Linked DNA regions of Mytilus edulis. The protein of the gene in region 4 purifies or fractionates together with the protein of the main gene of each other region. This does not show direct contact. Links are inferred from orthologs where the notes say so. Each region holds a gene or a part of one and is shown on either strand. Other genes may lie near its edges. The genes, in order: putative ATP-dependent RNA helicase DHX57, ribonucleases P/MRP protein subunit POP1-like, zinc finger CCHC-type and RNA-binding motif-containing protein 1-like and la-related protein 7-like.

What was found.
Region 1: the proteins of la-related protein 7-like (region 4) and putative ATP-dependent RNA helicase DHX57 purify together in Homo sapiens (affinity purification with mass spectrometry; 3 studies listed by BioGRID and IntAct, with this or other methods). This does not show direct contact. The link is inferred for Mytilus edulis from reciprocal best matches to the Homo sapiens genes LARP7 and DHX57.
Region 2: the proteins of la-related protein 7-like (region 4) and ribonucleases P/MRP protein subunit POP1-like purify together in Homo sapiens (affinity purification with mass spectrometry; 3 studies listed by BioGRID and IntAct, with this or other methods). This does not show direct contact. The link is inferred for Mytilus edulis from reciprocal best matches to the Homo sapiens genes LARP7 and POP1.
Region 3: the proteins of la-related protein 7-like (region 4) and zinc finger CCHC-type and RNA-binding motif-containing protein 1-like purify together in Homo sapiens (affinity purification with mass spectrometry; 3 studies listed by BioGRID and IntAct, counting the BioPlex papers as one, with this or other methods). This does not show direct contact. The link is inferred for Mytilus edulis from reciprocal best matches to the Homo sapiens genes LARP7 and ZCRB1.

Annotation. Positions count from the first base shown.
Region 1 is NC_092346.1:56,277,691-56,285,873, forward strand, and holds the start of putative ATP-dependent RNA helicase DHX57, read left to right. Parts: upstream 1-4,975; 5' UTR 4,976-5,038; coding exon 5,039-5,346; intron 5,347-8,183. Other genes in the region: tubulin--tyrosine ligase-like, read right to left, coding at 162-324. UniProt on the Homo sapiens protein: Probable ATP-binding RNA helicase.
Region 2 is NC_092344.1:124,482,949-124,491,238, forward strand, and holds the start of ribonucleases P/MRP protein subunit POP1-like, read right to left. Parts: upstream 3,068-8,290; 5' UTR 2,925-3,067; coding exon 2,922-2,924; intron 1-2,921. Other genes in the region: 2-iminobutanoate/2-iminopropanoate deaminase-like, read left to right, coding at 3,319-3,383, 7,468-7,573. UniProt on the Homo sapiens protein: Component of ribonuclease P, a ribonucleoprotein complex that generates mature tRNA molecules by cleaving their 5'-ends. Also a component of the MRP ribonuclease complex, which cleaves pre-rRNA sequences.
Region 3 is NC_092344.1:95,701,492-95,709,226, reverse strand, and holds the start of zinc finger CCHC-type and RNA-binding motif-containing protein 1-like, read right to left. Parts: upstream 3,277-7,735; 5' UTR 3,179-3,276; coding exon 3,066-3,178; intron 1-3,065.
Region 4 is NC_092352.1:62,370,886-62,378,713, forward strand, and holds the start of la-related protein 7-like, read left to right. Parts: upstream 1-4,474; 5' UTR 4,475-4,549; intron 4,550-5,842; 5' UTR 5,843-5,846; coding exon 5,847-5,939; intron 5,940-7,723; coding exon 7,724-7,802; intron 7,803-7,828. Other genes in the region: uncharacterized protein, read right to left, coding at 3,910-4,078. UniProt on the Homo sapiens protein: RNA-binding protein that specifically binds distinct small nuclear RNA (snRNAs) and regulates their processing and function.

The DNA.
Region 1 (8,183 bases), on a different chromosome or scaffold from region 4:
TATAATTACATTTTTTAGATAGGATCATGAAAACACGATTTCAATCAAGGGTTTCTTTAATTTTTTCTGTGCACTTTATTGTGGGACCTCGTGCCATCATGAATGTTACGTTTCATTGTGTAATGAATGTCAATTTCAGAAGGTCTAGAGATTATACCAACCTAATCTACCAAATGGCAATTTATTTCTTTCCCCAAACATCAGATTAAATGATGCTGAATTAGCTGGCATTTTCCTCCAATCCTCATCACAATTCTCAACCAGAAACTTAGAGACAGCTTTGTAGACACTGCTTTTAATATCACGATTCACAAACCCATACATTCTGAAAATATAATAAGAAGTTGACATACATGTAGTTGAATACTCTTTTTGTCTTCAATACATCATGAAATAACACTAAATGGAAGAGTTGCTATAACAAAGAAGTTGTTGTGAAATGCCAAATTTCTAAAGTGAAAGGGGCATAACTACAAAAACTGGAACAACCTACCCACATGCACATCTGGAGATCAGGATCTTGTTATGTTTTAAACTTGTATGAAGCTGAAGCAAATAACAAAATTTAACAAAAGTAGAGAAAAATGAATAAATATATACTAACCTGATAGAACTGTTCTATCCCTTTTCTAAAACTGAACCATTCATTATGAAGTTTTCATTTTTCAACTATAGATGAAGTAAACACGTAAACAATGCTGTAATAAGTCATCTATAGATCCTATAATGAATTAAAAATTAACATAATGCATATGTCATTACTAAAATGCACATTAACTATTCTAATCATTCAAAACATAATATTTAATTTTGAATTGTTGATGTCATCTTTAATTTTGAAAAATTAAATGCTAATCTGAACCAAAATCATGTACATGTATCTGACTAAAAGTTACAAATTCATCAATACTTTTATACTTGTAAAGGGTCTAACATAGATGGAGATTTTTTAAATGTTAATTGCTATTTGTACAAATTTATACTTATTTTTAATGCTTATTACTAATCACTGTATATCAACCTCCCTCACAATCCCAAGATTCAAATGTATAAAAGTATTTGTGACTGTCACAATCATTAAAATAAGTTTCAGCTTCAAGGCCAAATAAATCTGGTGTTTTGAGAGACTATTTTTTTGCAGTGACGCCTTTGTGCTTCAAAGCAAAAGTTAAGATATAATAATAATAATAATAATAATAATAATAAATTCTTTATTTAAAGAGGGTAAACACAGTTAGTTACAATCACTAATCTTCCCTGAGGCCCTCATATACATGTATGCAATACAAGTAAAAACAAAATGGTAATAATAAAAGAAAAAAGCAATCATACAACATATAAACACAATTGTATAGACATAATAGTTCAGTGTACATGTACCATGATTAAAAGATATAAAACAGTTAAATATCGCATGTAGTAAATAGATCTAGTATATACAAATCATTAAAATCATACATTCTAAGAGTAATACAATGTAGTTGCAATCATTTCAGACTGAATATTGGGACTGTCTCAAGTATTGTTTTATAATTTGTTTAAAAGAATAAGTGTTTTGCACTTTACGCATTTCATAAGGTAGTCCGTTCCATAAAACTGATCCAGAATAAGCAAAAGATTTTTTAAACAGTTCAGTTTTTGGCTTTGGAACTATCAAATTACCTTGAGTAACACCCCTTAAAGCATAAGGATTATTTACAGATATAAGATGAAACTTTTGAATTAGGTACTGTGGTGCTTCTTTCCGCATACATTTAAATAGCAATAAATATTTATGGTATTTGATTCTGTTTTCTACTGTCATCCAACCAAGTTTTTTAAATAAGGGGGCTGATGGGGATAATGGGTCTGCATCAAGAATTAATCTTGCTGCTCTTTTTTGAAGTTTTAATATTCTTACTATCCCTTCATTTTACATTCTCCCCAAATAATACAGCAGTAATCGATGAGAGGCAGAATATACCCATTATAATATGCTTTCCTGGCATTAATATCTAAAAATTTCTTTAATTTAGAAAGAAGGTATATTCTTGATGAAATGCTAGCACAAATTTGATCAATTTGGTTTTTCCAGCTAAGTGTGCTGTCAATTTTAACACCTAATAATTTCTCACATGATGAATTTTGTAGTGTTTCTGAATTTATTACTAAATTTGGTTGAAAAGATTGGGTTGATAACTTCTGACTTGTTCCAGTAACCAAACATTTAGTTTTTTTGGTATTGATGAACATATTATTCATTTTGCACCATTCTTCAACTTTGCATAAATCTTCTTGAACATCATCATGTAAATTTTCTATACTTTTCCCTGATTTATGAAGAGTAGTATCATCAGCATACAAGTCTGTTTTACAATTTTTAATGCACAGGGGAAGGTCATTTATAAATAAGACAAATAATAGAGGACCTAGTATAGATCCTTGGGGGACACCAAATTTCACATCTTTTTTATCAGAATTAACATTGCAAATGTTTACTTGCTGTGTTCTATTACTTAGGTATGACCTGAAAAAACCTACTGCAGACTCACTGAATCCATAAATAGCAAGCTTTAAGCAAAGAATGTCATGATCTACAAGATCAAATGCCTTTTTAAAGTCTAACAGTATTGCTAAGTTAATATTACCATCATTCATTTCTTTCAGCCATTTGTCAATGATATCAATAAGTGCAGTTTGACAAGAATGATGTGGCCTAAAACCTGATTGTGTAGGATGTAAAAGTTTAAATTTAGACAAGTACTTATACATGTTATTTGAGACATGCCTTTCTAATACTTTTGATAAAGATGGAAGAACAGAAATTGGCCTGTAATTTGTTGCTAAAACCTTATCACCATCTTTGTAAACTGGTGTTACCTTAGCATTTTTCAGTAATGAGGGGTAGATACCAGTATCTATCATTCTGTTGAATATATATGTGAGAGGAGAGGCAATACATGGAGCACTTATTTTAAGGATTTGCGGTCCAATATTATCAGTTCCTGATGATTTATTTACATCAAGTTTAATTAACTCATCAAATAGCTCATTTATCTTTATTGGTGGTATGGTAAATTTCTCATGTTTTTGTTGTTTTAATTGATTTTTAATAAATTTGCTTAGATTATTGAAATCTGCCTTGTCAATAGATGTAATGTCCCTTTGCTCTCTTAGTTCTTCAGCACAGGAAGTAAAAAAGGTATTAAAAGTATCTGCTATAGATTTTTTATCATTTGTTGTTGTATTGTTCTCATCTGTAGCTAACTCATGTGGGGATTTTTTAAACTTTGGATTCAAGCTATGAAGGCATTTCCATAAAGATTTTGAGTCCTTAGAGTCTTTTACCATGTTTTTATAATAGTTCTTTTTTGAATTCTCTATTATTTGTTTAGTTTTATTTCTCCAAAATCTATATTCACTCCACAATCCAAGTGCATTGTATTTATCCCTCATGTTCCTAGCATATATAATTTCACTATTATACCAATCAGGTTGCCTATCCTTTTTAACTCTCTTTTCAACAACAGGAGCATGTTTATCTAAAACTTTGTTCAACATATCATAAAATAATTGGAGACAAACAGAAGGGTTGTCTTCAAATTCAATTTTATAAAAAGGTGTACTTTGTAGGTCTAAAAGAAATTCATTTTGATCAAATTTTTTGAAATTCCTGTATGTTATTGTACTGTGTGAATTCTTTTTGTCTTTATTAACTTCTTTCCTTGTTAAACAAATAGGATAATGGTCACTAATTGCTAATTTACAGACATGTGATTCCTGTACCTTATCTAGATTACTGACATAGATATGATCAATCAATGTACTGGTATCCTTTGTGACCCTTGTAGCATCTACAATCAATTGTTGAAGATTAAATGCTTCTAAAACATTCAACCATTTTTGAGGAGGTTTGCTTGGTGCTTTAAAATTCATATTAAAATCCCCCAATAATATAATATCTGAATTAATGGTCACTGCCATTCCTAGTTCTTTTTCAAAATCATCAATCCAATCTATTGTTGACTTTGGAGGTCTGTACACAAAACATAGTAAAAATGATTTTTTATAATCTGGTTTTACCTCAAACCACATTGTTTCAATACCTCCTATTTCAATGTTGTTTTGTCTTGAAAATTTTATTTTTTCAGAAAAATAAACAATTAAACCACCCCCACCCTGGGAAGTTCTGTCTTTTCTTTCAGATAAGGCTTGATATAGCCTTTAAAAGTCAAAATTATTTTGACTAATGTTGTCTATGTTTTCATATTAGGTCAAAAGCTCTTTAAAGCTTGTGGTGTATAAATAAAAAAAAAACTATCTTATCTTTTTTATCTGGTATATGAAGAACACATACCAGTCGACTGGCATATTTCTTTCAAAAAAAATCTATGATATGATGGCCTCAGTACATTTAAACATGTTGAGACCAAATCCTCTATATGTAATACCTGTATAGAGTGACTATCTTCCTACAGAGGGATAAAATTGTATTTCTAGATAAATTTTATGTTAAATCTAGTAAAATATAGAAATCTGTTTATTGCAAAAAAATGTAGGCCATAACTGAGTGGCATTTACACAATTATCACAGGTTTCGATAATGATGAACAAAAGATTGAATGCTAAGTCATTTTAGCACTAAAAGTGTAGCCAAAGATACCAGTGGGATATTCAACTGTTCAAAATCTGAAGTAGAAAATAATTTGACAACACCATGTCCAAAAAGGAAAAAGACTAACAGACATCCAATAGTTCATAAAACAAAAAAAATGATTTGATTTGATATTTACATTTAATCGGTTTGGTAACTGAAGTAAACAAACCATTGACCTCTTCACCTAGTCACTTAAAGGGTTAACTGAAAGTTTATTCCTACTTTCATTTTCAATTAGTTCTTTTGTAATAGAGACTCGATAAGTATATTCTTTTAATCTTTATCGCAGCAACGTTTTGTCAAGGCAATTTATATTTAAAAAATGAAGCTGACGTTTGACATCGAGCAAAAAAAAAGAGTAGGGTTCGAGCTCTAGGGTTCGTACGGTTTTATTTCGTGCTCATGGATGAATTTTCATTTTCCAAGAGAAAAAAGGGAAAACCTAATAGAGGTGGAGGTAAATTTAACCGTGGACGAGGAAGAGGAAAGCCCAGTCGAGATGAACATCGTCACGATAAACGTCAAAGTGAACCCGACAGTAAACGAAAAGAACCCACGTCTGGTGGAAGAGGCCACTCGTCTGGTGGAAGAGGCTACTCTTCTGGTGGTAGTGGCCACACGTCTGGTGGTAGAGGCTACTCGTCTGGTGGTAGTGGCCACACGTCTGGTGCAGTAGGAACCCGAAATTATGGAAGTAGCAAAATTTCTGGGTAAATAATGTCTCTAGTTAAAAAAAATCAAATAATTTTTAGCTTCGGAACGGTGAGCTTTAGCCATCTTGGCGTCCGTTGTCGTCTGTCTGGTGTAAACTATTTTAAACATCTTCTCCTCTGAAACGACTGAACCAATTCCAACCAAACTTTAGCTGAATGGTTCATAGCGTATCTAGAACAAAGTTTGTGTTTTTTATTTTCTGTTTCGTCAAAAAACATGGCAGCCATGGCTTAAAATAGAACATAGGGGTAAGAGCAAATCTGACCGTGAGTGACGTAGGGTTGAAATGTTCTTAAGGTTAAGTTCTATCAGCCCTGAAATTTTCAGATGAATCTAATAACCCATTGTTTGGTTGCTGCCACTAAATTGGTTATTTTAAGGAAATTTTGCAGTATTTCCCAAATTGGTTATTATCTTGAATAGTATTAGTGGTAAAGATAAACTGTAAACAGCAAATATGTTTAGCAAAGTAAGATCTACAAATAAGTTTATATGACACAATTTGTTTATCATGTTTTCTAACTTCAAAATCTTCTCCTCTTAAACTACTGAACCAATTCCAACCAAATTTAAGTTGAATAATCCTTAGGGTATGTAGAATAAAGTTTGTGTTTTATTTCCTGTTTCTTAAAAAAACATGGCCGCCATGGCTAAAAATAGAATGTTGGAATAAAATGCAGTTTTTGGCTTATATCTTAAAAACCAAAGCATTTAGAGCAATCTGACATGGGATTAAAGTGTTCATTAGGTCAAGTTCTATCAGCCCTGAAATTTTCAGATGAAACTAACAACCCATTGTTGGGTTGCTGGCACTTAATTTGGTTATTTTTAGGAAATTTTGCAGTTTTTGGTTATCATCTTGAATTTATTAATGATAAAGATAAACTGTAAACAACAAAAATTTTCAGCCAAGTAAGATCTCAAAAATTAAAATTAAACTTTGTTTGATCTCATCAAAAATTTAATTCTTACGGTTCTTTGATATGCTGAATTGAACCCAAAAAACAAACTATGATGTAATTGGAAACTTGAACTCTTAAAGAAAGTTAAATGCCAAAAAATAAAGGTGAGCAATACAGGCTCTTGTTTAATTCATAGTTAATATTTGAAAGTATTAACAACATATAAAGTGCTTTCAAGACATTTCAGTCACAAATACCAGTTAGGCCAAAGTGGTTTTGTTTACTTTTTTTTATTGACCTTTTTAGCTCACCTGTCCCGAAGGGACAAGTGAGCTTATGCCATCACTTGGCGTCCGTCGTCGTCCGTCGTCTGTCGTCGTCTGTCGTCGTCTGTCGTCGTCGTAAACTATTTCAAGAATCTTCTCCTCTGAAACTACTGGGCCAAATACTTTCAAACTTTAACTGAATGTTCCTTAGGGTATCTAATTTATAAATTGTATCCGAAGTTTTGATCTATCAACAAACATGGTCGCCATTGGTAAAAATAGAACATAGGGGTCAAATGCAGTTTTTGGCTTATAACTCTAAAACCAAAGCATTTAGAGAAAATCTGACATGGGGTAATATTGTTTATCAGGTCAAGATCTATCTGCCCTGAAATTTTCAGATGAATCAGACAATCCGTTGTTGGGTTGCTGCCCCTGAATTGGTAATTTTAAGGAAATTTTGCTGTTTTTGGTTATTATCTTGAATATTATTATAGATAGAGATAAACTGTAAACTGGAATAATGTTCAGCAAAGTAAGATTTACAAATAAGTCAACATGACTGAAATGGTCAGTTGACCCCTTTAGGAGTTATTACCCTTTATAGTCAATTTTTAACCATTTTTCGTAAATCTTAGTAATCTTTTACAAAAATCTTCTCCTCTGAAACTATTGGGCCAAATACTTCCAAACTTTAATTGAATGTTCCTTAGGGTATCTAGTTTGTAAATTGTATCCGAAGTTATGATCTATCAACAAACATGGTCGCCATTGCTAAAAATAGAACATAGGGGTCAAATGCAGTTTTTGGCTTATAACTTAAAAACCAAAGCATTTAGAGCAAATCTGACTGGGTAATATTGTTTATCAGGTCAAGATCTATCTGCCCTGAAATTTTCAGATGAATCAGACAACCTGTTGTTGGGTTGCTGCCCCTGAATTGGTAATTTTAAGGAAATTTTGCTGTTTTTGGTTATTATCTTGAATATTATTATAGATAGAGATAAACCTTAAACAGCAATAATGTTCAGCAAAGTAAGATTTACAAATAAGTCAACATGACAGAAATGGTCAGTTGACCCCTTTAGGAGTTATTGCCCTTTATAGTCAATTTTTAACCATTTTTCGTAAATCTTAGTAATCTTTTACAAAAATCTTCTCCTCTGAAACTACTGGGCCAAATACTTCCAAACTTTAACTGAATGTTCCTTAGGGTATTTAGTTTGTAAACTGTATCCGAAGTTTTGATCTATCAACAAACATGGTCGCCATTGCTAAAAATAGAACATAGGGGTCAAATGCAGTTTTTTGGCTTATAACTCAAAAACCAAAGCATTTAGAGCAAATCTGACGTTGGGTAATATTGTTTATCAGGTCAAGATCTATCTGCCCTGAAATTTTCAGATGAATCAGACAACCTGTTGTTGGGTTACTGCCCCTGAATTGGTAATTTTAAAGAAATTTTGAATATTATTATAGATAGAGATAAACTGTAAACAGCAATAATGTTCAGCAAAGTAAGATTTACAAATAAGTCAACATGACGGAAATGGTCAGTTGACCCCTTTAGGAGTTATTGCCCTTTATAGTCAATTTTTAACTATTTTTCGTAAATCTTAGTAATCTTTTACAAAAATCTTCTCCTCTGAAACTACTGGGCCAAAT
Region 2 (8,290 bases), on a different chromosome or scaffold from region 4:
TGATCGCCAAACCCGGAATTACCCTTATCCGCTTCCGGAATCGGATCCGATATTAAAATTTGGTCTTCACGGCCGCCATTGGTATGTGTTTACAATGTTGTTTGTGTCAATCAGATAGGATTTTACTCGAATTTATACAATATTTGTCGGAGATTTTCTGCATAAAGCTAGCGGTTGAACAAAATGAACATCGCTGTCATGACTAATAATGATAAAAATAAGTTTTTAGCTCGTTTAATTGGAGACTTTGGTGAACATGGTGAAAAGGTTTGCAAAGTAATTTCTTGTTTTCTTTCAAGTGGAAGGTGACTACGTCGGGCGTAGCTAGAAACCAACTATCCTATTCGAAATTCCGCTTGCAAAAGTGGAAGGTCGCGGACCTCGGACCACCGATAATTTGCACACTAGTCTTGCCTCCAAATTGAAAAGCTACGAAAAATTTCTTTTTCTAATTTGAAATTGCCGCCAACAGCATGAACAGTTGAACTTATTATATAATAGACTACTGACGTAGTTGTACTACGTATTGATGACAAACAATATTCCTACGACTTTTGTCATTTGGAAAATCTAAACTACTTGTCTTAAGAGATTTTCGGCGATTAAATATTTCATACAATTGTTCTTTGACATCTTAGCTAAAAGCACAAGTCATAATGAACTACACAAGGATTCTTAATAAGCACTACTTCCTATGTGTAACTTTAAAACTTTTGGATAAATCGACGATCATTCAAGGTTTTTCTTGTCATATTTTTTGTAATCCAGAATAAAAAGTATTAAAAATGTGTTCAATTAGTTATATATAACATAGTAGCGAGCTAGATAATAACAATGGCAAGTATTTCAGCATTTATTGGGTAGAACACAAATCTAGGGTGCTCGCATAATGCAGCTTAACTGCATAAAAACTCACTTATTGCGCCTAAACATCTTCTTTTTAACAAATTTTATTACATTCTGAAGCGGCACAAAAGCCAGAAAAAGCCTGGTGTTTATGTTTGACGCCGGAAGCATACCTATGACGTCCCCTAGTGTAGGGACCAAAAAAGATAACATTTTTTCACGGAATTTTCTTTTATGAAGATTTTACACTGAAATAATGATTGAAATTTAATTATAAACTTGTTTTGCATTAGAATAGAGATAACTGTATTGTATTTGAAGCTTTTCGGGCGTCCATTGGTAGTTTTACTGTCGCAAATACGAGTTTACCTGTCTCCGCTCAGCGTCGCCAGGTAAACTAAATTTGCGACAATAAAACTACCGATGGACGTCCTTAAAGCTTCAAATACAATACAATTATCTCTTAAACAGCAAAAATTCATAAAAATAAACAATTCAGGGGCAACAACCTATAAACAACGCATTGTCAGATTCATCTGAAAATTTCAGGGCAGATAGATCTTGACCTGATAAACAATTTAGATTTGCTCTAAATGCTTTGTTTTTTGAGTTATAAGCCAAAAACTGCATTTTACCCCTATATTCTAATTCAACTGGAATTTGAATTAAAATTGGGCGCGAACATGTAGAGAGCGAACGTGCACCCCGCGAGGTGCGAACATGAAGGGTGCGAAAGTGTATTCTTCTTCTTCTTCTTTATAATTCAGCACTCCATCAACATACTGATGATAACGTGCCGGGCACTGATTTTACTATGCCACGCGTGCGTGGATATAAATTTTATTTACAGTGAAAAAATACAAAAATAAAAATAAAAATTTCAACATTTATAACTTCTTTTTCTTCTGTTTTTGTACTATACATTTTGGTTAAAACTATATACATTGTGGAATTTATTTAAATGTTTATTGAGAACAGATATTGGAATCTGTTCTTGGAAGCTTTCAAGAGTAGTACATTGAACTGCAGCTACTGGGAGAAGGTTCCATTGCAAGATTGTTCTAGGGTAGAATGAGTACTTGTATGAGTCTTTAGTGGTTTGTATGGGTCTGAAAGAGTAAATATGTGAATGTTGTCGTGTTCTTGTATCAGATTGTGTAAGTAGGTCTGTCGGATATATGGCAACAAGATGATGTATAATTTTGTAGAGGAAAATGATGCGGTTTGTAGCATTTCAGTGACTGAGCTGGTGTTATGGTATCTGTTGCAGGTGTACCTTGCTGCTCTGCGCTGGACCATCTCAAGTTGGTGTGTTTGAGATTTGGTGTGCGAGTCCCAGACGCAGCTGCTGTATTCTAGCTTTGGTCTTACTAGTGCAATGTATGCTTTTTCTTTGACTGTTTTTGAGTTGACTTTTAGATTTCTTTTAATAAAGTTCAGCTTTTGTGTGGCTGCAGCTGTGATATTGTTTACATGTTTGTTCCATTTGAGATCAGTTTGTATAGTTATTCCAAGATATTTTGTGGATGTTTCTTTTTGAAGTACATGTTGGTGGAGAGTATAGTCAAAATTTAATGGGGTTTTCTTAGTTGTTATCTGAAGGACTGAGCACTTGTCTGGATGGAATGACATGAGCCAGTCCTTCTCCCATTTTGCAGCTGATGTGAGATCTTCTTGCAGTTTTTGTGTGTCTTCTTTCTTTCGTATTGTTTTATAAATTATGCTATCATCTGCAAATAATCTGAGGGTACTGTGTTTGATGTATTCGTTAAAGTCATTTATGTATACAAGGAAAAGGATCGGACCCAAAACTGTTCCTTGGGGAACACCAGATGTTACGTTTATTTTGTCTTCACTGAACACCATCAATGATCACTGTTTGTGTCCGAGATGTGAGAAAATCTTCTATCCATTTTAAGGTGTTGTCATCAATGCCATAATGTTTTAGTTTGTAGAGAAGTCTTTTGTGAGGAATTGTATTGTATTGGGCGCGAACGGACCTAATACCAGTAACTATCTACTATATTTGAGGTATTTTTCCTTAAAATACATAAAACAAACATGTTAAATCATACCATGGTCCTGTAAAGAGTATTGTTTTCTGCTTGACAAATCTAATTCACTATATTTGACCAACTTTAATCCGCTTACATCTTTTTGTACATGTTTCTAATGGGCGCAGACATTTTATTGTACACGACAGACGATTCACTTCCGGAATAAATGATATATTATTTCACCACCAAAGATATAATGTCATCGTTTAAAACATATGCTATGACCAGAAAATGAAAACCATTATTATAAAAAAAATCTTAGTTTACAAAACCAAATGTAAACATGTGGCATGAACTTAAATAAATAACAGATCAATGCTCAGGATCGCGCTTCATAAGAACCGTTTTATTCCTGGATTACCTCCCATATGACAAGGACAAACAATTAAACTGAGCTGACCAAACACATTGAAATATGGCAGGAATTGTAAGAAAGATAATAAAGACAGTAAAGGCTCCAGCTGCTATTGGACCATACAGGTGATTCTCTTTGCTGAATATTTGAAAAACCTCAATGTGCACCTTTGGTCACCTGAGGCTGAGCAATTTTACTTATTAACCTTTATACTTTTATTAAATATTATAATTTGCTGTTTTCACAAGTTACTCTGATAACATTGTTGGTCTGAGTATCCTTGTTATTAAGTTACTGAATTCCAGGTGGAAGTTTAACTTAAAAGTAAACACATTCTTGTTAATAGATATATCATATAGGAAGATGTGGTGTGAGTGCCAATGAGACAACTCTCCATCCACATAACAATTTAAAAAGTAAACCATTATAGGTTAAAGTACGGCCTTCAACACGGAGCCTTGGCTCACACCGAACAACAAGCTATAAAGGGCCCCAAAATGGATGAAATTTGAAAAAAATAGGCAGGTCAGGAGTTTTGAGTAAAGAAAATGGCAGGATGAGACACTTGCAAAAGAAAAAAAGTCAGGACAACAATTTAGGTAAAAAAAAAGGCAGGTTCGAACAGAGTGAAAAATAAAAAGGCAGGACAGAGATTAAAGCTAAAAAAAATGCAGGACATAATTTTTCATCCTAGCCAACCCCCCACCCCCACCATAAAAATAAAATGGTAGCTCCCTAAAAGCCAATGATTGAATACAAACCCTTTAGTCCTGTAATCTTTTTTTTAATTTTTTTTTTTCTACATTATTTGGTCTGTAATCATGGTAATCAATGATTCATAGGAGTCCATTTCATCTAGTGATGCTGTAAAGTAAGTGGTCTCAGAGTCTTTAAAAAGTGACCGAGTCGTGGTATAATATCAACTGATCAAATTAAGATTTAACCTCAAACTAATTTGCAACAGAAAATGTTTTAGTTCTAATCTATAGCATTATGCCCTTAATATACACAGAAAAAAAGTCCCATTAAATCTAACTTGAGGGGGGAAAAAAATAAGCATTTTTAATTTTCTATGGAAATTAACATTGGAAGGGGAGATAACTCAACAAACATGAGTCTTTTTTGGTCAGTTTTTGGTTGCTTTTCCTGAAATTTATGTAAAGTATGATACATTGATGGGGTTATAAGTTTGTATTTGACTAAATCATATAATCCTCTGCTCATGAGATGTACAAAAGCGAAGTGTTATGGGTAGTTCAATTTTTTTTGAGCATTTTTCATTAAAGAAATCGCAAATTTGAAGCTTTGTGACCATTTTAAAAATATAATGTGAAAATTTGGTATTGTTTATATCTATATATTATATTTTTTCAGTATTTTACTTTTCTAAAGAGACTTTAAACCACAAAAAGAAGAATACATGCTTAATTATTTTTATTAAAATTGAGATTCTTTATCTTGACAGGTTGAAAAATTTAATTAATAGTCCATAATATGAACTACGAAATCTAGATTATAGCTTGATAAAAGATATTAAAACCTCTTTGGAGTTGTTTTTTATACTCTAAAGACCGCTAAAAAATCAAGAATCAATGCATTCTGATGAATAGAAGCGGTAAAGTTATAATTTTGTATCAATTTTTATTGATATTGGATTATTTCTGCCTGTTTTGCAATAGTTACATGTATCTCCCTTTTCAATGCAAATCTCCAAATGACAAATTTTAAATGGTGATTTTTTTAGTCCTCCTCAAGTAAGATTAAATGGGACTTATTTCAGTGTATTTTTGTGGTATAATGCTAAAGATTAAACTTAAAAATCATCTGTTGCAATTACTTTCAGGTCAGGGTCAAATTTATGCTATCTAGATTGACTGGACTATATATGACATGAAAATGTTTGACAATTTGCCTATTTTATTTTGTGTTAAAAGAGATTTATGTATTAAGTTTTTAATTTGCATTATCTCCCTTATTCATTATGTTATTAGATAAACTAGAAATTAGAATTACTAAATATAAAGGATTAAGTTCAAGAATCAGGGTTAAATGTGTTCGAATTAGCCTTAAGTTTGTGATGTTTTTTTAAGCCAGCCAAAATACTACAAATTTCACATAGATGTAGTTGTGATATTACTATTTACATGAAATACTTTCATCATAATCAGTATACATTTATTGTGTTGCAATGTTAGATTTGGTCAAATCTTAGATAAATCTTAATATTTTTTTGCATTTATACACTTTGGGCACCACCCATGATCCAGAACTTTTCTATGTCTAGGTAACCAATCTCATCATTAGCAAATTTTGGTTACAGAATATTATAGATTCTAGGTTGTGGCCATAGGTTTCCTCAAGCTTTTTAAGTCTGAAAAAATGCACAAAACCATAGCTTTTTGACATTATATCTAAAAGGTGATGATTTTGAAGCCAAGAATATACTCTTATGAAGAGATTTGTTCTAACATGGAAGTCAAGGAAGCCAGGCTTTTTTTAAAGATAGATCCATTTAAGAACCAAATTATGGCCACTTTAAAAAAATACTTTCAAGTTGAAAATCATGGCCATTATTGACCGAAAGTGAACCTTCTTGTCCTTTTATCTATATGAAAACCATACTTAATGATAACTTTGATGTATTGGTTCGATCAAGAGCTGCAAATATATGATAAAAGGGAATTACAATGAGTCCTATTAGGTTTCTTTGATCCACAATAATCGTTCTTAGACGGCTAGGTTATAGCGATAATAAGATATACATTTGTACATGACATAATATGGAATCAAACTAACCTAGAACAATGTGATTGGACATGATTGCTATCTTTTTATATATATCACCAGTGGTGGATCCAGAAATTTTCATAAGTGGGGGCCCACTGACTGACCTAAGAGGGGGCCCACTCCAGTCACGCTTCAGTGATTCCTATATAAGCAACCAAATTTTTTCCCAAAAAGGGGGGGCCCTAAACCCGCCTCTGATCACGTTAATAATATATTGTCGACCATATGCAGTCTTCTTAGAACATATCAATTGTTCAGTAGATGGAGTGTAGACAAAAATGCACAAGAAATACTGATACATATATTATTGAGCCCATGCATTGTAAATTGATTATTATAGACTTTTTTTAAATTGGATATAAGTTTTTATTTGTTAAAAATCAAATGGCAGAATTTGAGTCATATCAGTGAACAGGAATCTGATAGCCCCTTTATAGGTGCTTAATCAAAATTCTCAAGACTTAAATTATATAAGAGTTTAAAAGAGGATAGAAAGATACCAGAGGGACAGTCAACCTCATAGATTGAAAATAAAATGACAACGCCATGGCTAAAAATAAAATGACAATGCCATGGCTAAAAATAAAAGGACAAACAGACAAATAATAGTACAGAAGACACAACAAAGCAAACTGAAGACTAAGCAACACGAACCCCACCAAAAACTGGGGTCATCTCAGGTACTCCAGTAGGGTAAGCAGATCCTGCTCCACATGTGGCACCCATAGTGTTGCTTATGTTATTACAAATCTGTTAAATAGTCTAAATCGGTAAGAAGTCACATTCATGAAAAGGGAGGGGTATTGTCATTACAACATAAGGAACATATTCGATATCATCTGTGAAAAGGTTATTCCATAATGGTCAACCAACTCTTGATGGCATCTGTAAAATTTACGAAGGGATGATTTCAACTTCACCATTTGGAACACTTGGTTTAACTAATAGCTTCCTTGTGAGCAGCAATCCTCTTTCAAGGAAATCATGATAGGAAATACAAGCCACTAAACAGAGTATATATCTCTCAATTGATAAGATATTCCCTGGGCCAGGGAATATCATATCAATTTGGAGATATATACTCTGTATGCAGGCGCTGCTGGAATGTTAATACATAGGAATGGAATGTTCACAATTGGGAAGTTGGGAAGCTGAAATGATCTCTTTTTTCATGAGAAATTAGTTTATACACAGAGGCATGAAACACAAATATATAATTTTGGGCTTGTTCTCATTTTGAAAAGGGAATGGATTCATTCCTTTATTCAAAGAAAAAAAACTCTTTTTACTTTCTGTTCTTTGTAGTGAAATTCTTACAATTAATTTGTATAAAAAAAATATATTTTAATTAGAACTTTCTCAGTGCATAATACTGTTCTGATGCATACTATTTTATTTTGAAATATCTTTTATTGTTTAAAGTCAGGCTGTGCTGGTTGAAAATACTATGTACCTCTCTGGGCAAATAGGAATGGATCCTTCTACTGGTAACCTTGTATCCGGTGGTGTTGTGCCAGAGACAGAACAGGTATGTATATGATCCCTTCTACTGGTAACCTTGTATCTGGTGGTGTTGTGTCTGAGACAGAACAGGTATGTACATGTATAAACATGGTCCCTTTTACTGGTAACCTTGTATCTGATGGTGTTGTGCCAGAGACAGAACAGGTATGTACATGTATGAACATGATCATTTCTACTGATAACCTTGTATCTTGTGGTGTTGTGCCAGAGACAGAACAGGTATGTGTAAAGCAAGAACATGGTCCCTTCTACTGGTAACCTTGTATCTGGTGGTGTTGTACCAGAGACAGAACAGGTATGTGTAAAGCAAGAACATGGTCCCTTCTACCAAGGATTTGTATAGTATACAAATCCTTGCTTCTACTGGTAACCTTGTATCAGTGTTGTTGTACCAGAGACAGAACAGGCGGACATAAGGTTACCAGTAGAAGGATCCATGTACATACCTGTTCTGTCTCTGGTACAACACCACCAGACACAAGGTTACCAGTAGAAGGAACCATGTTCTTGCTTTACACATACTAGCCATTGCTAGCTGTTCTGTCTCTGGTACAACACCACCAGATACAAGGTTACCAGTAGAAGGGACCATGTCCTTGTGTCCGTCAGATTTGTGCCAGAGACAGAGCAGGTATGTGTAAAGCAAAACTGTATCCTGGTTAAATTTGATCCGGTGGAAAAAATGTCATAGTAATTGTTGTCATTATTTTATCTGGAGGAA
Region 3 (7,735 bases), on a different chromosome or scaffold from region 4:
CATGTTTGATTATAAAGCATAAATATCATACTTTTAAAATCCACAGATGCTACCAAATTCCATAAATCTTGTAAAGTCAAGCAAGGTTGGGCGGTAAATACCACCCCGGTATTTACCAGTGGTATTTACCGGTATTTACCGCCCCAGACAATACTCCCCAAGTGGTCAATACTGGCAAATACTGGTCAATTGAAATTTTCATGGTTGTTTCTACTATTAAATGAAGTAAAATCTTGATAAAAAGTCAAATATAATGTGTCAGCTTATAAAGTTAATGAATTTGATATGTTTTATGACATTTATAACACTTATTCTTACTACTGATTTAAAATTTAGTTTTTATGAATTATGATATTGCATACTTAAGATATATATATACAAATTTATATTTTATTTCAACATGTTTAAATCAATATATTTTTATTCAAAATGTATGATTTTACAGGTAATCAAAATTAAAGGTAAATAAAACTACAGGTAAATGAAGTTACATGGGTCTTTTTATATATCACCTGGCATTGCTAGGTGTGAAAATTTAATTACTAAAACAACAGCCTCCAATAAAAGTTGACAGTACATGGGTTGAAAGTAATAAAATTGATATATGAAGACTCCCTTAAACAATAAATTATTTCCTGTTTATAGCTATCTAACTGTGAGATAAAAAAAAACCCTTCTTCATGCTGGAAATGAAAATTTGAAGCAGGGACAAAAAGTTTTTATCTTTTACTATAATATTATGTACACATTAATCAATGTAGATCCCTGTTTGAATTAACAATAGAATTAGAAATGAAAGCATTAAAAATGGTTTGAACACCTTTTTATATAAATTAATTATTAATTGTAATTATAATTGACCAAGTAGATAGTGGTTTTTATAGTAATGACCACTCAAAATTTCAATCGACCAGTATTTGCTTTGCCGGTATTTCCCAATATTTGCCAGTATTTCCCGGTAAATACCGGTATTTACCACTGGCATGGTCAATACTAGTATTGACCGCTTTTTTGCCAACCTTGAAGTCAAGAGATTTTATCAATTTAATACTGAATACATATCAGATTAACTTGTCTTCCCATTAAACATACTGTTCCCAAATAAGTTCAAGATATAAACATTGTTACAATTTCAGCTGGGCATACTGGGGTTGGTAACACCAGAAAACTGGGGTGTTCACTAAAAACTGGGAATACACCGCTTTTCCTAACTTGAGCCCAACCTGTTTGTTGTTCCTGAGGCTACATCAATTTAATTTCTTGTTCTACGGATTTTTGAACTCCAAAATTTGGGGCGAGCGAGCGATTTGAAAATTTTAATAAAAAAATATTTAATTTGCAAATTTTTGAGGCGAAGCTTGAAAAGTAAAGGCGAGCGATTATAATTTTTTTTTGTAAACATAAAATATTAGGTTTTGACAATATTAAAGCTAATGATTTATCACTTGTACTTTGACATTTCTTTAATTTCTGAAGTATTTTTTCCCTGTTCACCAAGAAATAATTAAATCTGGTCTATGTATGTGTGACTGACAATGAGACAATTCTACATCCAAGTCATGATCAGTTTGGGGACCACCCCTTTATGTTATAAATACATTGTATCCCTTTTACATGTTTTATGAGGGATCAATATAAGTTATAATAGATTTGTTTGTACAAAAGGGCTCATATTTTCTCAAAGAACTATATATCTATCTGGTATTAAATGGTCAAAACTTGTCCAAGAATTTTGTAATATTCCTGGACTTTAACCTGATGCTAACACATTTACTTTAACAGTTTAATATTATTCAAAATAAGTGGACCCCTCTTTTAGAAAAAGTTGTTTAAAATATGATGCAACTCTTCTCTTTTTGAGTAAAAAATTCTAAGTTTTCAAAGGTTTTGTATAGAAGAACTATACAAATTCTTGGTATTTCTATTTTCTTTTCTACATCAGTAAAATGACCCCTTGTCTGAGGGAGGGTTGTTCTCAACCTGATAATATAAACAAACACAGGTCGAAGTACGGCCTTTTACACAGGGCTTTGATACAGACCAAACAGCAGGCTATAAAGGATCCCAAAATTATTAGCGTACACAATTCGAACAGGAAAACCAACGATCTAATTTATATATCATGTATATCCAAACGGGAAAATACCAATGAACAACATCAACAAACGATAACTGCTGAACGACAGGCCCCTCAATCAATCAGGACAGGCGAATAAACATGCAGCGGCTATGGATAGTTTTGTTTCGCCAGCATACAATATAACCATATAACTGCAGTTAAGGCAAATCCTTCAGAAGTTCTTTGTACTTTATTCTAACAACAAACATTTTTTGATAGGGAATATAAGTAAGGGGAAAGTAACCAATATTTTGTTCTTTACAGGTTTTCGCTGTTATAAATTTATATCAGAGCACTCGCACTTTTGATAAATAGGTTTTATGCTGAAACAAATATTCTCACAGATATTTACAAAGTGTGGTGGGGTGCTTTTATGTTTAAAATCGTTATATACAGGTTAGACTGTTATTTTAAAAATAAATGTTGATATCTTTTTATAATATTTACAAAAAAAACGGTGCGGGAGATGGACATGATTACATTTCCGGATGCGGGAAGCAGGAATATAAAAAAAATAAAAAAATTCTGTTTTGAAAAAAATAGGTGCGGGTGGGTCCGTCGAACAAGGAATCAAATTGGTGTGGCCTGAAATACTTTTTTTAAAAGTTCTTACAGTTAAAACCTGCACTTTTGTAAATGTCATGCCATCAATTGGATTAGAAAAGGAAGTCCCTGTAAACTGTTGTTTTTCAAACCAGAAAACCGGGGTGTTCACTGAAAACCGAAAATAGACATCTGTACCCAAATTTTCCTCGACTTGTACCCAACCTGGTAAACAGTTATAAAAACACACTCCTGTCAATGAATGATCATGAATGCATACCTAGTTTTGATCTAGTTACGACATCGAAGCAAATATATAAAATAGCCAATTATTTGGACTAGCGCATGCCTTGAACCTGATTTTTAGTTCTGACATAATCAAAACTAAAGTTTCTAAACTCACTTTGCAACCTTTCCATATTTTTCAAATATTTTGTGAATATCGTTATTTGTCAGTGAAAAGGGAAGGTTGCCAACATATATAGTACTTTTACTGGGCACCAAACCCCCGCTCATTGTGGCTATCACCTTTCAAACTTCGCAATAAACAGGGGAATATAAAAATTTCCATAAAAATAATAGGAAGAAAATACCGGAAGTAGTGAAACTAAAACAAGCATAAAACCAACACCGGGTGGTACTTGTTATTTTTCCGTGTTAATACCGAATAATCCAATACCTCAACAACCTCCATAATAAAAGGACCCAATTGTGATATTTCTTATCCGAAAAAACAAGCTAAATTGAATTGGCATCTCCGCAGAACATTTCAAAACTGCTAGAAGTATTCTTTCACCAATGTTAACCTCCATCTTTAATCAAATCACAATAGCTATTCTACTGTACAAAACAAACTTACCGCTTTTCTTTAAGACTGGAATTACTAACCCAGTACTAAAAAAGCTGAAAGATCCAACATTAGAAGAAATTACAGAGGTATCACAGTGACACCAACAATCACCAAACTGATTAAATATGTATTGTTACCACGTCTTACCAAAAACTTTATCCCAAGCAGACATGCAATTTGGTTTTACAGAAGGTCTCTCTATGCTTATAGCTGCCTTTCTTGTAGAATGTAAATCAGAATCCAAACATGTAACTTTAAAACCTTTATCAAATATGATAGCGGTAGACAGCCAAACTGCATTTGACGTATTTGACGTGGTTTCTCACATCATTCTTCTAGATAAACTTTATGAATGTGGCATACATACTAAACTTTGGCCCATAGTCAAAGATCTTTACACAGACATGTCCTTAAAAATAAAATGGAAAGGTGAAATAAGTGACAAATATCCAATACAACAAGGCCGTGCGACAAGGTGGAGTCCTTTCCACTAACCTATATAAGGTTAACATTAACAACGTATTGAATGAACTAGTAATGTTTTAGCCGTGTAGGACTGAAAATTGGCAATATTTACACTGGCATAGACGGATCCAAGGGGTGGGGGCTGGAGTGGCTGGAAAAATTTGGTTGATTATATAGGGAATAACTGAAGCATGACTGGCACCCCCCCCCTTTTGAGGTCAGTCAGCACCCCTCCAACTTATGAAAAGTTCTGCCACTGACTGGCTCACCATGCAACATGTGCAGATGATATAGCACTTCTGTCTGATGATGTGGAAGAATCACAAATTATGCTAAACACTGTTCTACGAAATTCCAAACAGGACAGGGTCACACTTCATCCAACAAAAACAAATGCTGTCATCATCAATAAAGGCAAAACGGTATTTTAAAGAAAAAACCTACAATAGAATATCGGCACCACTTGTATAACACCAACAAACCAAACTAAACATTTAGGTATAATGAGAGCTGAAATTAAAGAGAATAACGTAAATGTAGAGGATAGACTGTCCCTAGCTCGCAGAACACTCTTCTCTTTATTCAACAGCGGACATCACGGATAAAATGGTTTAATTCCCATCACCTCTTACCAATTATATCGGAGCTATGTAATGCCTAAACTTCTTTTTGGACTTGAAATACTACCATTAAAACAAATAGATATTGACCGCCTTAGAAAGTTCCACATAAACTGCCTAAGAAAATTCCCATCACTGTATCAAAGAACAGCCCTCTGTGCCGTCTATCTACTTTTTGGTGCACTACCCATAGCATCAGAGCTCCACAAACGTCAACTGAGCTTTTTATATAGCCTTCTAAACGATGAAGTGCAAATGTTAAGAAGCCATGACGAATTTTGTTCCTTGGGATTCCTGGAGGGGGGATTCTGGCTAGTTCTGGTCAACGTAAACAATGAAAAGAATCTAAAAAGGAGTTACAAAATTACAAAACGTCTTGTAGATGAGTTATATCATTAGGGAACTGACAATAAAATTACTATTAATCGACGTAAGACATGTAAGTCATGTTGTCCATTTCATAACAACATCATTTGAACGATCAAATCATGAATTTAAATGATGGATATGAAAATAGATTTAAGTAGTGAATTTACATATAACTTGTAATTTTTAAAAATAAATTTCCTAATTTTAGCAAGTGTAAAGCTATTGGAAGCATTCAATTTGACCTATATACAAACTTTTTAATGCATTTAGACGAGAGCTAGTAGACTTTCCCTTAGTGTAGGTAAAGAAACACTTAGCTTAGCAGTCATGTGAGACATGAAGTGGGTTCAAAATTACCATAAAAGTGGAATGATTTTGCAGGACACCAACATAGATTGATAACATTCGAGCCAGATCATATTTACAAGCAAATATTTGTTAGTAATTTAAATTTTATTGTTAAAAAAAAGTTCATTGAATTTCAGTTGGTTGACTTTGCAATACACGTGACAAACACTACTGTACTACTGATAATAAACTTAATTTGTTGATACAGTCATGTCAAGAAATTGATGAATGGTAATTTTTTTTAATTCATCCTCTTTCAGTGGTAATAATAGGCGGAAGAACTTAAGAACTTGTTTAATATTTTAAGACAACATAATGTTGCTTAAATGAATATATATAAATGATAGACTTCAAATTTTACTTTTACGGAAATGTACCTTCTTATTATACTTCCAAAGGTAACTAATGCATGTGTTCATAGTGTTTTAAAAAATTTCAACGACATCAGGAATAAAACGGTATCGTTTCCCATAAAAACCCTAAAGAGCCTGTGTCGCTCACCTTGGTATATGTGCATATTAAACAAAGGGCACTATGATAAAACTGTTTTGGTGATAGTGATGTGTTTGTTGATCTTACTTTACTGAACATTATTGCTGCTTACAATTATCTGTATCTATAATGAACTTGGCCCAGTAGTTTCAGTGGAAAATATTTTGTAAAAATTTCAAAATTTATAAAAATTGTTGAAAATTGACTATAAAGGGCAAAAACTCCTTAAGAGGACAATTGACCATTTTGGTTATGTTGACTTATTTTTATGTGTTGCTGTACATTATTGCTGTTTACAGTTTATCTCTATCTATAATAATGTTAAAGATAATAACCAAAAGCTGCAAAATTTTCTTAAATTACCAATTCAGGGGTAGCAACATAACAACGGGTTGCCTGAATGGTCTGAAAATTTAAGGGCAGATAGATCTTCACCTAATAAACAATTTAATCACAAGTCAGATTTGCTCTAAATGCTATGGTTTCAGAGATATGAGCCAAAAACTACATTTTACCCTATGTACTATTTTTAGCCATGTAGGCCATCTTGGTTCGCGGGTGGGGTAATAGGACACTTTTTTTTTTAAACTAGATACCCTAATGATGATTGAGGACAAGTTTGTTTCAGAGGAGAAGATTTTTTGTAAAATATTACAAAGATTTACGAAAAATTATTAAAAATTGCCTACAAGGGCAATAACTCCTTAAGGGGTTAACAGATCATTTTGGTTTTGTTGACTTATTTGTAGATCTTACTTTGCTGAACATTATTGCTGTTTACAGTTTATCTCTTTCTATAATATAAAAATATTCAAAATAATAACCAAAAACGGCAAAATTTCCTTAAAATTACACATTCATGGGCAGCTACCAAACAATGGGTAGTCCGATTAATCTAAAATTTTTAGAGCAGATAGATCTTGACCTGATAACCAATTTTACCCCGTCAGATTTGCTCTAAATGCTTTGGTTTCAGAGATATAAGCCAAAATCTACATTTTACCCCATTGTTCTATTTTTAGCAATGACGGCAATCTTGGTTGGCTGGCCGGGTCACCGGACACATTTTTGAAAACTAGATACCCCAATGATGATTGTGGCCAAGTTTGATACAATTTGGCTAAGTAAGTTTCAGAGGAGAAGATGTTTGTAAAAGTTAACGACGACGGACGACAGACGACGGACGACGTACGCCAAGTGATGAGAAAAGCTCACTTGGCCCAAAAGCTAAAAAGTATAACAAAAAAAAAAAACGCATTCAAAGAAAAATTCAAAAAGAGGAGGTCCATAAAAACTAAAAAATAAGTTATCAACCAGAAGGTAAATAATCTAGTGGAAAAAGTAAAATCACAAAAATACTGAACTCTCAGGAAAATTCAAAACGAAAAGTCCCTAATCAAATGGCAAAATCAAAGCTCAAACACATCAAACGAATGATTAACAACTGTCATATTCCTGATTTGGTACATGCATTATTGGAACAGTTATGAAAGTTATCTTTGGTATATATTTTTTTCAGATCTCTATACAGAAAGAAATTTTTGGATAATGTTTGGTGTTCTATGTGCAGTAATAGTATTGCAGTTTATCATTATCTTGTGTAAATTTTGTTGTGAACGATCAAAGGACAAACCTGAAAAATCATATGACTTTAATGGCCATTTTAATTCTGGTTTTAATTCGAAAACATAATACGTTGAATTCATTTATTTTCATGGACATTAATTTTCGAGGAATGAGTAAAACTTGTTAATATTTGATTTCGTGGTTCTGCCAAAGTCTTTTTACACTCCTAAAGTAAATATGTCATTCGTTGGATATTGGAATTCGTTGATTTGTGTTTACCACGAAATCCATGAAAAATGGTTTCCAACAAAAATAAATGAATCCATAGTACAAGTTATCATATCATTCTTTAATGTTCTGTAG
Region 4 (7,828 bases):
ACTTATATACTAAATGTCACATTTTTTAAAAGTGTTCAGTTACATTAACTTTATTTTAGTGGATAATTAATCATCAATTGAGGAAGATTCTCAAAACAGAATTTTACAGAAAAATGAAAAAAATCGTATCTCATGTGTTCCCACAGCCTATGTTTACTTTGGAAGTTACAAATTGACCTACAAATTAAATCATTGCATGTTGATGTTTGAATCATCTACAGCAAACATTATTATGTTTTAATAGGTGCACAAACTCTGATTTAAATAACCAGTGAAGGATATCCCTGCTGCTACATAGTGTGGCATTCCAACAATGACGTCTCTAATAAACATAATGTAGGTTGGATATATTTAGAATATCTCGTCATACTGATTTTTCTGGATTGTAAAAGAAACGTAAATAGTGTAAAGGAGAGCTCAAGATACAATAATTTCACGAGAAACAGAAGGGAAATGTGTAAAAAAAAAGTGTTTAAAGTCCATCTATTCATTTGTGTGTCTCCTTCTCATCAATCTCCGTCTGGTCAACCACATAGGGGATTGAAGGCTTGAAGCTGCCTTTCCCCAAAAACTGCAGTTTACCACTATGGCCTATTTTTAGCCATGGCAGCCATATAAGTACAAGAAAATAAAAAACACAATTGATTCTAGATACCCTTAGGGTCATTCAGCTTTACTTTAGTTGGCATTGGTTCTATAGTTTCAAAGGAGAAGATTTTTTAAAGTTAGAAAACATAATCAACAAATTGTGTAAAATTGTTCTTAAAGGGCAATAACTCCTTGACAATTTTGGTTAAAGAACTTATTTGTAGATCTCACTTTGATGAACATTTTTGCTGTTCACAGTTTTTCTTTATCATTTCTTTATATCATTAATAATATTCAAGTAATAACCATCATTGCAAATAAATTGCTTCGACAAGTGCAGCTGGATACAACCGCAGAGGTCCTGAAAAGATGGGACATAATGGACACAATCTTCGCATTTGATAAAGGTCTGAATTTGGCTTGAAATTAAATATTTGACACACAATAGTTTTCTGACACAGAATATAAACTGTAGTCAAAGAACTTGAATTGGTTAAGTGATTTGAATTAATATTATTTTTTTTGCTTTTGTGCAATACACTAAAATTAAATTAAAACAAAATTGACAGCTTATTACCTCAAGACAATACAACATTTCTGTATACATAATTTAAAAGCAGTGTAAGGGAGGTAATTCAACCATGTAGTGTTTGAATTACCTCCCTTTTTTGGGGGGTTTGTACTTCAGTAATAGTCCATTAAGAAGGACACCCTTGTTTCACCCCTTTTTGCAACTAATTCCTCAACGGTTTAAGCCATAACATATATGCATCCCAATGCCAATTCTTACAATCCCTTTGTGGTATTGAATCTTGTGGTATAATTTCAGAGAGATCCATACACCATTCCACAAGTTATTGTCTGGAAACTAGAAAAATGCTAATTTGGGCCCCCTTTTGACCCTTATTTCTAAACTGTTGGGACTTTAACCCCAAAAATCAATCCCAACCTTTCTTTTGTGGTCATAAACCTTGTGTTAAAATTTTATATATTTTTTTATTTACTTATACTAAAGTTATTGTACGGAAACCAAATGTTTTCGGATGACAAAAACATGATACCAATGTACAACTGCAAAAATGTTTGCTTAAGAAAAAATTCATGGAAGCCATTGATTGTTGGAAATTTACACATGGCCTGGGCCATGATATTCGAAATTTATTCCTGAGCGAGGGATAAAATTGACGGATATCGCGGCCAAGTGAAATTCCAACAATCTATGGCTTCCATGAATTATTTCAATTCTAATAGGACAAATACGGTCATTAAAAAACTGAAGCGAGGGTGGATATGCAGTGTGTCGGGCTGTTCTTTTTTACTTCCTGTTAGATAAAGCTCAAACATTCTAATAAATCTGTAGCTATCATGGATTATTACATGAATAACCGCAGAGACCGCTTAAAAATTCTTTTATTTCTCAAACCCAACATTTGCCATTTTTAATTTACATGTTTTTCTCATAAGCTTCCGTCAAATCCTAAGTTGACATTTCGTCACCATGATGACTTGCTGAAATCTGTAAATAATGCGAATAATGCAATAGAATAGAAAATAAAACACAACCTACCTCAATCAAAGTGCTGGATAGCACCTGTGGAAAGATTGGAAGAGTAGTTTGAATAATTTCATATTAAGGTATGGTGGGGACAAAAGAACATTAATAAAACAGTATTGCTGAAAATTGCATAAACAGCAGGGTTCAAGCAGGAATAAAAATCAGCTGTAACTTAAAACGACATTTTCAACGAATTTCAGCAGAGCAAAATTTTCCGTTCCATCCTTCAAGGGGACATCTAAAAAGATTGTGTTAATCCTTAATTAATCATTTATCTTTCAGACATAATTTACAGAATCACTTTATGTAATGTAGATCAAAAGTAATAGGCAATAAATAAATCTATCATCCTTATATATCAAACATCTAATATATACATTTGTGTATTCAATTATGAGGTCAAATATTTGTGTATTGAGATGTTTATTGGGTCTGTACAATTATGTAACACTGATGTTGATAAGTAATGTGGTCAATTTGATTGACATTTTAGGAGGTGGGGCATTGTAATTTAAGGTCCACCTTGTCCATGTTTGGTGATAATGACAGTTGTCAATCATACTAGTATTGTATCAATACTCAATTACCTAATCAAAATGCTTAAAAAAAGCCTGCACATCAACACACCTTCATTACATACATTCTTGAATAAACTGCTCCAAAAAATATACCCATTTTTCACAATTTATATGTGTATTATGTGCACATACATGAGAACTATAGGGAACTATATTTCAGTGTGAATACATGCAGTAATAGTAGTAAACCTGTCATGTTGTTAGGGAGGCCAGTGCCTAAGGAAAGATTAAGAACAAGTTCCAATCTTTCCAAAAATCAGTTTTAATACAATATCATACAAATTTCAATGGTTCACGCAACAGAAAACTTTCAACGCTAGTGGTTTCATTTGTATGACGTCTTGTTTTGAAATTATTAAATACGCCAAAAGCATTAATAGACTTTCGCGGAATTTATTTTTATTTTGTTGATTTCTCAGAGCTCTTGTTCATTACTTCTTTTTATTATGTACCCGAAAAGGAATAACAATTATTTTGTCTTTTTTTTATTGCAATTTTTAAAAAAATAAAATCGGCAAAGAGTCTGCAAATAGGTTCCAATACATGTAGATTTACATGGGAAGTATATTGTAACTGCCATTATTCTGTATATCTCTGAGTCTGCGCTAAGTATAGATATATCAAGAATCTTATCACTTGTTGTTTACAAAGCGAAAAAAGCATGTCATATTTCATGTATTAGAATGTCATATAAAAACTGCAAAATTTGCTTAAAATTACCAATTTAGTAGCAGCAACCTAACAATGGGTTATTAGATTCATCTGAAAATTTCTTGACTGATATATCATGTATATAGAACCTAACTCACCTAATTTACACCTTAACCTGTTGTCAGATTTGCTCTAAATGCTTTGGTTTTTATGATATAAGCAAAACACTGCATTTTACCCCTATGTTCTATTTCAAGCCATGGCGGTGATGTTTTTTGACGATACAGAAAAATAAAACACAAACTATATTATTGGATCTTTCAGCTAAAATTTGGTTTGAATGTTCAGTTATTTCAAAGAAGATGTTTGAAATAGTTTACCCAGGTTTGACGAGGAGGACGATGAACAATGCTTAAGGATTTATGAGCTAAAAATAACAAATCAAGGACCAATTTATATGGAGCTTTGTTTGTGTGCTTCTGGAAATATTTATATGCATTGAGTGAAATTTGTGAACCATGTAAGTGTTAAACAAACCTCTTTCATGGACAACCTGGGGATTCTTTTGAATAAGCTGTTGTACTAATTGTCCGGCATTTGTACTGATTGCCTGCATAAGAAGCTGGTGTTCCGAGGTCCCAGTTGGTTTTGCAGAAACTCCTTCATTATACGTAACTTTGGGATAATCATCATTTTTTGACGTCATTCTAATTTACGTGCGTTTCATATGACCTAGCTTCCGTATCATGCCATATATAATTTATAATTGTGTGGTAGGGGAAATCGTGTAGTTGATGTAGTTACAGGAATTCTATTAGGCCGGCTCGATTCTGACCAAAACAGCATATCGGTCGTTTGACCGGCGATAAACAAAATCAAGGTAAACCGGATAGAAAATTTAAAGGTTTTGATAAGAATACTAAAGTATATGATGCATAAAAGAAGCATATGCTAATATAAAAATCTTTGTAAAACTGAATGTGAGCTACATTTGTACTTTAGAAAATTCCGCTAAATCTGCAAAGGAGAATCGAGTTCCCCAGAGACCTCTGTAAGGAGATATAAAATAGATGTTGATTGGTTAAAGTTGAAAATTAAACCAATAAAATAGTGGGTAACATTTCCGTGTTTTGTATAGTTAGCTCCCTTTATTTTATAGAAGGAAATTTAAAAGAAGGTAGATTCTCTTAATTAAGTGGAATTAGTTTTCTAAGTAAACTTTGCCACTCATGACTGCAGTGCATGTGCCCTATAGCAATGTAGATGAGTTATGAGAGGACTGTATTTTTGAAGCTTTTGTCGTTTTGAGACGTTTCGGCCTCATTACCAGTTCGTCCACAATTTGTTTCGGGACCACTACCTTACCTTTAAGTTCAGACTTGGGGTCAATTACATTGGAATGTAATTAATTAAATTACTCATTACATTGCAAAAATATGAATTACACTAATTACACATTACACAGTTTTTAAAATGTAATTAATTAAATTACACATTACATTTCATCATAAATTGTTTTAAACAATATATATCATGTATATATAGAATGTGTGAAATATACATCTTTATCCCCTTCAAATGAGAACCACACAAGTTCTGTGTGTTGAACAGGTGCTTTGGGTGGCAGTGCTCATTATTTATAAAGGTGCTGTGGCTGTGGATCCCATCACCACAATTTATCCATGAATTTTGGATCAATTCATCCATCCACAATTGGTTTTTTTCCTTGATGGAAGGGAGTAAAATATAATGTTTCATCAAACAAATGGGAAGAAACAAATGAAAAAACATATTCATTTATAAAAATTTGTATCAATATTGATTAATGTTATAGAGTATTCGTAAAATATTATGAAAAGATGAAGTTTTTTTCAAATATAAAACGCAAACAAGGCAACTTCAAATAAAAACTTGCTGAGTTTATGTGGATCCAACTTTCAGTTGATGAGTATATTGTAATACAATACAAGCTGCCTTTAGCCTTTTAAAATACAGAATGAGATATTGCAGCATGAATGGAATTCCAAATGACTTTTTCAATCAAGACATCATTCACAGCAGATCTAAAATACACACTTGATGACAAAATGATTTTTTTTAAGTAATACGATGTACAAAAATGATGTAGTTCCTTTTTCGAAACAATAAAATTAATGGAAACGAGGAATGTGTCAAAGAGACAACTACCCTACCCGACCAAAAAGAAGAAACAACCCAAGGCCAAAAACATGACAAATGGGTCTACATGTACAAGTTCAACACAGCAAAAAAATCCAACACCTGGAGCAGGGCTTAGCCATGTTTGCTGGCCCCTAAACATGCATTACCACATCTTCTTATACACATATTTATTAAGATCATAGATGAAAAAAATGGGTTCACAGTTAAATATACCAAAAAAGACAAAATGTATGAATTAAGATGTGAGGTGAAAATTGTATTTCATAGTAAATTATAATATTTTTTGCAGTGTTATGGCAGGAACAGAAACATTAGATAAAGAGACTACAAAGGACAAGAAGCCAAGGAAAAGAATGAAAGCTTTATATGGTCGTATCAAGCAACAGGTTTGTTGAATAAGTCTCAAGGTCATAATGGTCCAATGAGTTAATGTAGTTATTATATATAATTATATCTACCAAAGTTTTGATAGACATTAAAAGTTAACATTTATAAAAGTAATTGAAAATACTTGACAAAATAAATTACTTCATGATGTTAGGACAAACTCATGAACACTCATACAGGGTTAAACTAATGTTATAAGTACTTTGTCCTTCCCTATTATCTTTATCAGTGGTAGACCAATAATTAAGTTAATGTGGCTTGATTGTTGTTCTTGCAGTCCTGTTTATTTGTTTAGGATAATGAGGAACGGTGGGGTATATGGCAATGAGGCAGCAATGGAACACACAAAAAATACAAAAGACTTCTGATGGGCAACTAATGTCTTTCATGTGTCTTTTGATTATGTTATTTTCAAGTTCTATACATTTTCTGATGAGTTGTATTATATTACATTTATATATATATATATTTACTTGCTATTTGATAACTGTACTGTTGTATATTATATATGTTGGATAAAAAAAAAATGTTAAGCACATGTCCCAGATCAGCCACAGACAAGGTTTCTGACTTGGTACTTGGACATGAACATGTGTTGGACTTTTTTGGGATACGATTGCTTTTAAGCAATCTGTAGACTTATACCATTGGCTCAGGGCCATGCCCTCATGTCAACTGTTTTATTCTAAACATTAAGGAACATCTCAGATTCTTATGATTGTCTTGCTTTAAAAGGTAAAAACAAACAAAGGGATTGAACTTAAACAACTTTCCTATAATGTTCTTTTCATAATCTTCATGTTTGATATTTCTCTTGACTTATATGCATGTTTTTAACAACACGGAAAATAAGAATTAAGCAGTATTTATATTTAGTGTTTTTATAAATTTAGAAACACGTCAGAGGGAATTCACCAGTTTTGATAAAAATGCGAGAGTTCTCTGAATGCCGATAAATCTATTTCTGTCACATAAGAACTGAAGTGGAGTTTTTCTTATATGTCACCGTTATGAAACTGATATTTGATATTGTACTTCCATAAAGAAATAGAGAACCATCATTAAATAGGTGAGAGTAAAGCTCTAAATCAAAGAGCAGATTGCTCTGAGGGATATGATTGCCATTGTTTTCATTGACACATGTATACATGTAGCTGGATGATATTATTTTCAAAACTAGTTCAACTGCACATGTAAAATGTAATTTACGTAATCTGAATAGTTACAAAATAGACAATCCCGGATACAAGTGTATGAAAAATGTACTTAGGCCTAATGTGTTTTGTTTTTGTACCATCAATTCCAAGTTTACTTTCCACAGTAGTCACTGAGACTCAGAGTGAGAGAAGGTATTTCACTTCGTATCTTATCACCTATTTTCCTACTTTAATTCTAGGAGGAACCCTTATTCCTAACTCTTTAAATATTTAATTTCCTTGGATCAGTGGATTGGCTATTTTGTACCTATTCAGATTACGTAAATTACATTTTATAATGGCAATTGTATCCCTCAGAGCAATCTGCTCTTTGATTTAGATCTTTACTCTCACCTATTTAATGCCCCACCAAAGATACATCCGTTCATCTGTTCGTTCATTTGTTCATCCATTTGTCCCACTTCAGGTTAAAGTTTTTGGAAGTGGGCATCTGAACTATCGACACATTCTTGTTTTATCTAGATCAGGGGATTAACAGAGTCTTTAAAAGATCTACTGAAAATATAATTCTTTTTGTCATAGTTTTATCATGTTCATTGTTCATATGTGTTGACCTTTTATTTTAGATGGAATTTTACTTCAGTGATTCCAATTTGAACAGGGACAGATTCATGAAGAAACAGATTGTGGAAGCAGAAGATGGATGTAAGGAGTTCTTCTTAGAAATAGTG